Linked DNA regions of Daphnia pulex. Each later gene encodes a partner of the first gene's protein in a complex. Links are inferred from orthologs where the notes say so. Each region holds a gene or a part of one and is shown on either strand. Other genes may lie near its edges. The genes, in order: nuclear pore complex protein Nup205-like and nuclear pore complex protein Nup98-Nup96-like.

Region 1 (4,522 bases):
TTCATCCCGACCCCGCCGCTTCTGTCCTAACCACACTACCAAAACTTCTCCTTTCTCTCAAATGGCGAAAAAAGAAAGTGGACAAATTCCCATCACACATGCATGTAAAATCTTTACGGGGCACACACAAGCGGCAAAGAGGTGTTTTTCTGTGGATCACGAACGACATTTTTTTTTCAGGATCTCAAATCAGTCTAGAAAGTAGACTCCACAACGACGAGTTATGGAGAGCATCAAAGATTGGATGTGTTTTTTGACCTTATAAAGATATACATATGGTGAAAGCGTCTAGGAGGCAACGACTGGCGATAAACAAAACCACCGTTCTTCGAATTTGAGGAAATAAAAACTTGGGAGGTTTTGAAATAAAAAAAATTAAAATGCTCAATCCTACGATTTCCTCCCCTCCCTTATATCTTTTTCTCTCTTCGCAGTGCGATTGACGATTGGATTTCATTTCTTTATTTTGAGCCCCAATATGCGAATCCTGTAAATAAATGTAACAAGGAAAACATACCCAAATAGGTGGACACCACCGTTCCTAAACGTCCGTCTCCTCACTTCAACCTACCCAACTCTTATGATTATTGTGTTTCTTTTTTTTTTTTTTGAATTTTTTGCCACAATCAAACCGTCAACAGTTCTTTTTTGTGTGTGCGTGAATGCGTGTCATTGAAAGGAAAAAAACCTCTATTCTCGCCCTGATCTTCCTTCATATTTTCCTCATTTACCTTGTTTGAACACTGAAAATTTTTTAAAAAGTAAAAATTATCTTATAAGAAAAATTCTGCTAGAATCGACTTTGTATGTGTGAGTGAGTGTGAGTGTTCGTCTATGGCAACTTGTGGCACAGCGCATCGTGTCTTCGTAAGTGTGCGTCTGTATTATCAAGTCAGTTGGATGACATTAGTGTAATTTGTACAGGTGAAAACAACAAAAAAAAAACAAATTCTCAGTGCTATTATTCTATTTTGTATCGAGATGACGCGTTGGACTCGGTCTCCCAAATTGGGCGTCATTAAATTCTGAAAAAAAAGCGATGTCATCTTTATAATGTTTTCTCGAGCGAAACTGAACTTTTCCCGTATTTCCTTCTGCTCCAACTCCACCACCACTCCTCCACAACAAAAAAAAGCAGCTGAGAGCATTGCTTTTTTGTATAATGATAAAAGGGAACAACTTTTTTGTGCTTGTCGATTAATTATTATTTTTCATTTTCGTGTGTGGTCGGTCTTTTTTTTCAATCTTTTTTCTTGTGCGTGTTATACGTGACTGTTGTGGACAAGATAATGTGTACAGGATAATTTGCAGTTCATTTGTAAATATTACTTGTTACTCTTTTGATTACAAACCGTCTGATCATTCTTAAAATAAGCTGATTCGTTTTTACTTTATTTTTCAAATATCCACACCCTATTTTGAGAAAACAATAAATCCATGGACGAATATTGAATAGATAGATAAATGGGTTTTTGGCGGTAATCGTGTTTCAATTTCAACGCAATTGTTTCAATTTTCTTACTGGCGGGAATTTACTTTGAATAGATGGCGCTGTGATGGTAGGTGGCGTTGGCATCATCTACCGACTACCGGTACGAAAAATTATCACACGACAATTCCCCACAGACGAATTCGAAGTCCAAGTTTCGAATACGTTCAGCTTTTGCCCTTGTGGTTATTAGGTTTTTTTAGTGAAATAAGCTTTACTTTTGGTTGAACTGTCACAAGTTTTAAAATCAAAAGATGTGGACCAAGTCTAAGGACCTCCACAGTCTGGTTGAAGACACAATTAATAACCAGCAATGCAACAGCCTAGACAATCTGGAGAAAGCATTGAAAAATCACCGTTCAGATTTCTCTGCCCTTCTTAAACAGCCGGTAATTTCATGAATCAGATTAAATCTGTGTTCTAAGCTCAAGTCAAATTCATTTTCAGGCAAAAAATCTCGATGACAGAAACCTTCTCCTAAAATCTGTCAAAGAACCTGTTCTTTTCCCTGGAAGAAAGACGACTGCTTCACTTGAACAATCGTTTGTGGATGAAGCACTCATTATCTCTGATATGTTTAATCTAAACGAAAATGTTGCTGTTGAACTTTTACACACAGCAGAACAGCAAATGCATTACTATCCAGAATTAACCAGGGGTTTGATTTCAGTACTGCTGTACTATGATGCTAGACGTGCCATTGTCAATTCATTAAAAATTCTCATCCAAGCAAGGAAAGGAATTTCATGGGCTGTAGACACCAGCGAACAAGTTGTTGACTTAATAACAGAGTACACCGTTAAATTGGTGAAAAAAGGTTTGGTAGATCAAATCATAGCCCTGTTAAGTCAACTGAACCTTGAAAAGGAAATCAATTTGCTCCACGAAAACCGAGCTCTCGGTGGACCAAAACACAGAAGGTTTGTTTACAATTAAGATTAATATTTCTTTCTTTTAATTTTTTGTGTTTTTTATTTTAGACAAGTTCATGATTTCTTCACTGAAATAAGGCAGTCGTTAGCGGACATTGTATTTTGTTTGGCTGCTCAAAATGGACTGTGTAGGGACGATACACTGCTGCTAGTGAATTACCTTTCATCTGTCGAACAAGTCGATAACGTCAACGTCACTCTTTTCATGGCTCTTTTGTATGCTATTGATATCAGCGGTATCGTTAGAACTGAAGAAAGTGAAGACGTCGTCCGGTTGTTACCCATCACTTCGGAAAGTGCATTTGTTGCGACTATTCAAAAGCGTCTGACAGAACCACTTCCTTGGAAGAACATTGGCCTTCAAGCTTCAGTTCAACTTGCCTGGGCAGTGACTTTGGCTACTTTCCGTTCGCTTTCATCTGGACTTTGCGCTCCAATTCAAATGCAGGTTGACGAAGACGAAGCCATCCTAGACGTCGCGTTAGAGGGAAAAGCTTTGAATTTTCTCAGTCATCTACTACAAACCAAAAATCATATCTACAAAGAGGAGTTTTACTTACGGCGATTACATTCACTTGTGACGGATCTAATTGTTCAAATGCCCCTGAAAATCAAAGATCTTCGTAATAAGGCCGATGAAGTTGCACGTAACATCTTTGTCTATCAGCAAGAGGGCCTTGAGCCACCTTCAAACCTGCCGCTGGATTTTCAATGGTTGCTTAACTTTATCGCCGTTCTGTACGGAGAGGATCCTCTAGAGCTGGAACTGTGTCTTGAATTTTGGTCTAGTGACATGGCCAATGCTGGAGTAAACTACAGGTATATGGTTATTGTTTATTTTGAAATAAAAATAAAAACTTATCGCCTTTTTAATGCAGAGTCTCTCAGCGACAAATGGCCCTATATAAGTTTATTCGTTTGGCCGGGGATTTGCTACCGCCTTCTCTCTACATTTCTTATGCCAGCATGCTTTGCGGATTGGCAAATGGAAAGAGGGCAGCTCACCAAGCCTTTACCCTTCTGAAACAAAACAGCAACGGCGGTCAAAGCAATTTGATCTCTTGGGAACACTTTTTCTCATCACTCCACAGATATTTTAACAGTTTGCGCCAAGAGTCGCTCCCTGTACCGGACACCATCTACCGCCACAAGCCCCTCACAAAAGGCATTACACCACAGGAGGTTCAGGGATTGCAGGTCGTTTTGAAGTTAATGCGAATCGTTCTCCAACATGACCCTGTTGCCAGGATATCTTTGGCCGAGAATCCAACATGGATACCATTAGTCGTGATGATCGGACTCTTAGGTAAGTAAAAGCAAATAGCTATCGAATGAACCCGAAAAATACATCTTCTAAATTGTAGGCTGTGCTGTGCCATTGAGTTTGAAGGGAGAGATCATGGAGGTTCTTGCAGCTTTCGCCCAGTCACCTGACATCGCATATACACTGTGGAACAGCATTGAAATAGCTCAGATTTTGTCAACTACAAGCATAGTTTCAACAAATGTCAAAGGTTTGTGCATGAAGATAATTCTATATTAATTTCCTGCCCAGTAAAAAACAAAAAAAGGGTTGAATATTAGGTCTCCACACGGAATTGGAAGATGTTGAGTCTCGAGCTGAAGAATACCCCCTCACAAGAGCCTTTCTTAAATTACTGGACGTGATGACTGATATATCCATCCCAACCAACTTGGGAACTGGACATAGAACGCCTGGATTTGATCCCTACTTATTCTACGTTAAAGATTCCGTTTTCCTGAAATTTAGTGGTAGGGCGTACCGCAATGAAACGGAAAAATGGCAGGTTTGTTCGTTTAGGTTTAAAAAGTTGTAAAACAAAGTCTTAACATTGACTTCGTTTTGTAGATTGGAAATGCCTGTGTAAAGCTATTTTTAAAATTGCTCTCGAATTACGAACCCAGTGTGGATGATTTTCAGGACTCCTACATTGAATTACCGTCTGGTAAATCATAATTAAGTTTTAAGAAAACTTGTTCTTAATGCTTGCTTTTTTTTTCCTGGTAGGCGGCAATGCCATTCGGTGCAAACCACCAGGGTATCATCTTTTGGTGCAATGTCTGCACGACTCCAACTTTT
Region 2 (4,509 bases), on another chromosome or scaffold:
CGTCACTTTCGGAATAGGGATCCATACCACCCCAAGGATCTTTTTCTTTTACTTGATTCTCCTGTAAAAAGATGATCAATAATGTAATAAAAAATTTATCTAAAAAAATATTACACATTCGTTCTAATAAAAAAAAAAAAACAGAATTAATGAGTACCACAGAAATTGGAGCCGGAGCTCTCTGGCGTAGTTGCATTCTCTCAACAACTTCTTCGGTTAAACCGTTGGAGTTCCCGTTTTCTTCGAGGTCATCTGGAATGATTTCGTTTTCTGAGGCCATTTCTCCGTCATTTTGCCAATCATCCAAGTTAGGAGGTTCGACTTCTAGATCATCTTGGTGCATAGACGTTATAGGAACTGGTTCGGTTGGCACCAAATCTGCGACGGAATGTTCAGCTTCTTCGTTAAAAATAAAATAAATTAATAAACGGAAAAAAATATCCACATTTTTCATTTTACCTTGGTTTTCGTTAAGGACATCTCTCTCGGGATGTACTTTAAATCCGTTTGCGTGATGGATTTGCAAAAACAAAGTGTAAGGGTCAAAGGGGAAATTAGATCTTAGATCAGAGGGGTAACCCAAATGCTCGTTTGAAAGTGTGTAGAGTTTAATTTTAACAGAATTTAAGCTTCCTATAACTTCTTCTAGTTGCAAGATTTCATACGGTAAAGTTTGGATCTTTTTTGTGTCTTTGGCTGTAGCTTTTCTCTTTAATTTTGAGCCAAACTTTCTAAACTTCAGTGGAATTGGTTCTGTGATAAGATCTACATCTCCTTTGTGATGTTTTTTTCGGTGATTTCTTCTTATCTTGGAGCCAGGTGTTTGATTTTCATCATTTTCATTACCATTCCTATAGAGAGTAGAGAGAAATGTGTTTTATTAGAAAGTAAAACATTGTACAGTACATGATTTTAGTTACCCATTCGAACTTAAAAACTCAATCACTTCTTGGAGAAGAAGCCAGAGCTGCTCAACTTTCTTGCTATAGATTTGTGCACTATTCTGTACAACCATAGCAGCCTTAGCAAAATCTAGCTTCATTTGCTCCCCGTTTACATTAACTTCAATCCGCAAATCTTGAATATACTGGACATATTCCTCCAATTTATCAGCTATATTCAGCTCCCAACATCCTTGTTTAGTAAGCTCTCGAATTGGCTTAAGAAGAGCAGCAAATTGAGAACTGAAAACATCATCTTCTTCAACAGAACTCCCACTCGAATTCGCAAGACCAGGGCCCATTGTTTAACACGACTGCGAAACTTATTACAACAAAAAATATCTCGAATCTTTAACTATTTCAGAAAAAGAAGAACATTTTTCATATTGAAAAATAAACTGTCAGCCACTTTGCCTGAACAAACAAGAAAACACAACAATTCAAAAATTGAATTTTGGAGTAAACGTAAGTGTTGCGTTTAGTTCTGAAGTACAAGGCCCACTATGCAACTAAATCAAGGGTCAAACTTTGGTGGCCATGTACGTAGCGCCACCTATAATGACTCTCAGTGTTTAGATTTTTGCGAAAACTAACCAAAACTCTTTAATTTTGCAACAATCAAATTCTAATTAAAATATTTTACACCTCTTAAATTTCGTGTCATCATAGTGTAAACATATTGAATTGCTAAATGCAAGTTAATGAATACTAACCGCTGGAAGACGCAGTCAAACGGCCTTCTTTCTATTCTCATTCTTGTGCGCCGCAACTGCTTTTTGCCTTTCGTAATTCGTATGAGCACCGTCTTGCCTTTTCAACGTTTCATTGAATTGTCAGCAAGTTCATACGACTCCCGCGTGCTGAGATTACTGTTGTGTTCTAAAAACTTGTGTGACGACCGCTAGCCATTGTAAGTTCAAATTGTGAGTTCTCCGAGATTAAGACTTCTGTGGTGTTGCATTTCGTACTCCATAAATATTGGGAGACATTTTTGACATTTTCTTTTTTACTTAGCTGCGGAGTGTGCCGGCTTCTTCAATGATACATCTTTAAAAATGTTTGGACAAAATAGACCCACTTTTGGAGCCCCAACATCAAATACTTTTGGTAATGCATCCAGACAATTATTATTCTTTACCATTGCATAAGCATATTTCATGTTTACAAATGTATCTTATCTTGTCATTACGTCACCATTTAAATTTCAACATTTTTTGTTTGCCCTCCATTGTTTGTTGCATTTAGGCGGTTTCGGTACAAATACATCAACAGGATTTGGGCAGTCTTCGTTTGGGGCAAAGCCAACTGGAACGGCTGCACCAACTTTCCAATCTACAGGTTTTGGATCAAATACCTCGATGTTTGGAAGCACAGGTACTACAACAAGCCAACCCTCGGGAGGTTTGTTTGGTACACCTACTGCCACTTTTGGAGCAGCACAACCTACAGCAGGATTTGGAGCACCTGCAACTAATACTGGCTTTGGAGGTATTTTATGTTTTATAGTTACATTTCATCAAACAGTAGATATCTTTGATGAACTTCATTAATTTGCAATCAAAGAGCACTTAATCATGTTGTTGGTTTTGTAACAAAAGGATTTGGTGGTGGGACTTCAGGGGGGAGCTTATTTGGAGCCCCTGCTGCTTCAACTGGTATGTTTGGATCTAATACCCAACAAACTGCCCCTTCAACTGGTACAACTGGCATGTTTGGAGCAGCCACCAATACAGGATTTGGAGCTCAAGCTAAACCTACATTTGGCTTTGGAGCAACTAGTACCTCCAGTAGCTTGTTTGGACAACCCCAATCCCAGCCCACTCAAACCACCTCACTTTTTGGACAGCCCACAGCACAAGCAACGCCGTCAACGGGTACTGGTTTGTTTGGGACATCATCTTTTGGTAACACAATTGGGGGATTTGGTGGTACTGGTGGAGCCATTACTGGTACCCCAGTAAAATTCAGTCCTCTAACAGGGACAGACTCTATGGTATAATATTTATTCATACACATATTTTTCTCTATGAATTATAATTTTCATTTTGTGGTCTTTAGATGAAAAACAATGTCCAAACGACAATAAACACACACCATCAGTGTATAACATGCATGAAAGAATATGACAATAAATCTTTGGAAGAACTTAGATTTGAAGACTACTCTGTAGGACGGAAAGGACCGACCCCGGGAACCGCACCACAAACTGGAGGATTATTTGGTGGGACCACTACGACTACCCAATCAACTCCGTTATTTGGACAAACTCAACAGACGCCCCTTTTCGGAACACCAGCACCCAGTAAGTATTTTTCTTGTGTATGATGAACAAAAGAGATAATTCGTATGTATTTAGCTATGGGACAGCCGAGCTTATTTGGACAGCCTCAACAGCAACAAGCTCAACCTTCGGCCTTTGGAGCAAAACCCATGGGGTTTGGTCAACCTGCTACTTCCACTCAATCATCATTTGGTTTCGGGACGCCTGCACCTCAACAGCAACAACAGCAGCAACCCAGTCTCTTCGGTCAGCAACAACAAAATAAACCTTTTGGCTCATCGATTTTCGGTCCCCAATCTACGAGCCAACCCACTCCTGCTTTCGGGACACAAACACCCGCTCCCGCATTTGGATTTGGTGCCCCACAACAGGTAATGATAATATTTTTATTTATTCCTTTTTATTTGAGATTGTTTCCTACTTATCGTTTTCTTTTTATTTCTGATTATTGCAGACCAGTCAAAGCTTTTTCAACACTCCAAAGCCAGCAATGGGAGTTCAGACTTCAACAGCAGGTTTTGGTTTTCCTCAAACGACAACCACTCAGTCCGCTGGATCCAACATCTTCGGTGCGAAACCAATAACTGGTTTTGGAGCGACACCTACCCCTGCATTTGGAACTACTCCCGCTCAAACAACGACGCCAGCGTTCGGTGGATTTGGTACATCAGGTTAGATCAGGAAATTGTTTTTGTTGTTTGTTTGTGTTTGCACCAAAAAAAATTTCGACTGTATTTTTTATAGGTACTACTGGAACTGGGTTGTTCACACCTGGACAAACGGCTTTTGGAGTCAAACCAGCCGGGCAAACATTTGGTGCGGTGACATCAACTCCGTCGACTCTAGGATTCGGTCAAAATACAATGTTCGGCGGGGCATCGGCTGCAAATGCAAAGCCCAGTCCATTTGGCGGTACTCCCTTTGGAAGTTCTGGCTTTGGCACTACACCTAGCTTTGGAACAGCTACTGGTGGGATGGGTACTGGCGCTCCCGGTTCACTCTTTGGGAACACAAGTATTGGAGCACCCTCAACTTCAATGTCTTTCGGAACGACGCAGCCTACTACTGGAACTAGCAGTTCCCAGTTGCCTATTCATCAGTATATCTTGACGCTAAGTGAGATTTCTCAGTCTAGTGATCATCCTCTCTTCCGGAAAATGCTGGAACCGTCAGGTAAGCCACTTCGAATGAACACAGTTGAACGCATTTCATTCATTAATTGTTTCATTGCGTTTTCAGGAAAAACAGAAGAATTGATCAAATCAAGCGCCCGTACCAGTTTGTCCA

Evidence for each region.
Region 2: nuclear pore complex protein Nup205-like (region 1) and nuclear pore complex protein Nup98-Nup96-like share a complex: the UniProt entries of both Homo sapiens proteins name them as parts of the nuclear pore complex. The link is inferred for Daphnia pulex from reciprocal best matches to the Homo sapiens genes NUP205 and NUP98.

Annotation. Positions count from the first base shown.
Region 1 is NC_060022.1:5,062,957-5,067,478, reverse strand, and holds the start of nuclear pore complex protein Nup205-like, read left to right. Parts: upstream 1-1,563; 5' UTR 1,564-1,743; coding exon 1,744-1,878; intron 1,879-1,936; coding exon 1,937-2,409; intron 2,410-2,469; coding exon 2,470-3,240; intron 3,241-3,299; coding exon 3,300-3,727; intron 3,728-3,785; coding exon 3,786-3,935; intron 3,936-4,005; coding exon 4,006-4,229; intron 4,230-4,291; coding exon 4,292-4,388; intron 4,389-4,450; coding exon 4,451-4,522. UniProt on the Homo sapiens protein: Plays a role in the nuclear pore complex (NPC) assembly and/or maintenance. May anchor NUP62 and other nucleoporins, but not NUP153 and TPR, to the NPC.
Region 2 is NC_060021.1:8,259,276-8,263,784, forward strand, and holds the start of nuclear pore complex protein Nup98-Nup96-like, read left to right. Parts: upstream 1-1,694; 5' UTR 1,695-1,851; exon of another isoform or gene 1,852-1,864; intron 1,865-1,955; 5' UTR 1,956-1,996; coding exon 1,997-2,048; intron 2,049-2,186; coding exon 2,187-2,429; intron 2,430-2,539; coding exon 2,540-2,934; intron 2,935-2,999; coding exon 3,000-3,243; intron 3,244-3,297; coding exon 3,298-3,593; intron 3,594-3,676; coding exon 3,677-3,893; intron 3,894-3,966; coding exon 3,967-4,395; intron 4,396-4,461; coding exon 4,462-4,509. Other genes in the region: condensin-2 complex subunit H2-like, read right to left, coding at 1-61, 158-399, 460-851, 921-1,243. UniProt on the Homo sapiens protein: Plays a role in the nuclear pore complex (NPC) assembly and/or maintenance. NUP98 and NUP96 are involved in the bidirectional transport across the NPC. May anchor NUP153 and TPR to the NPC.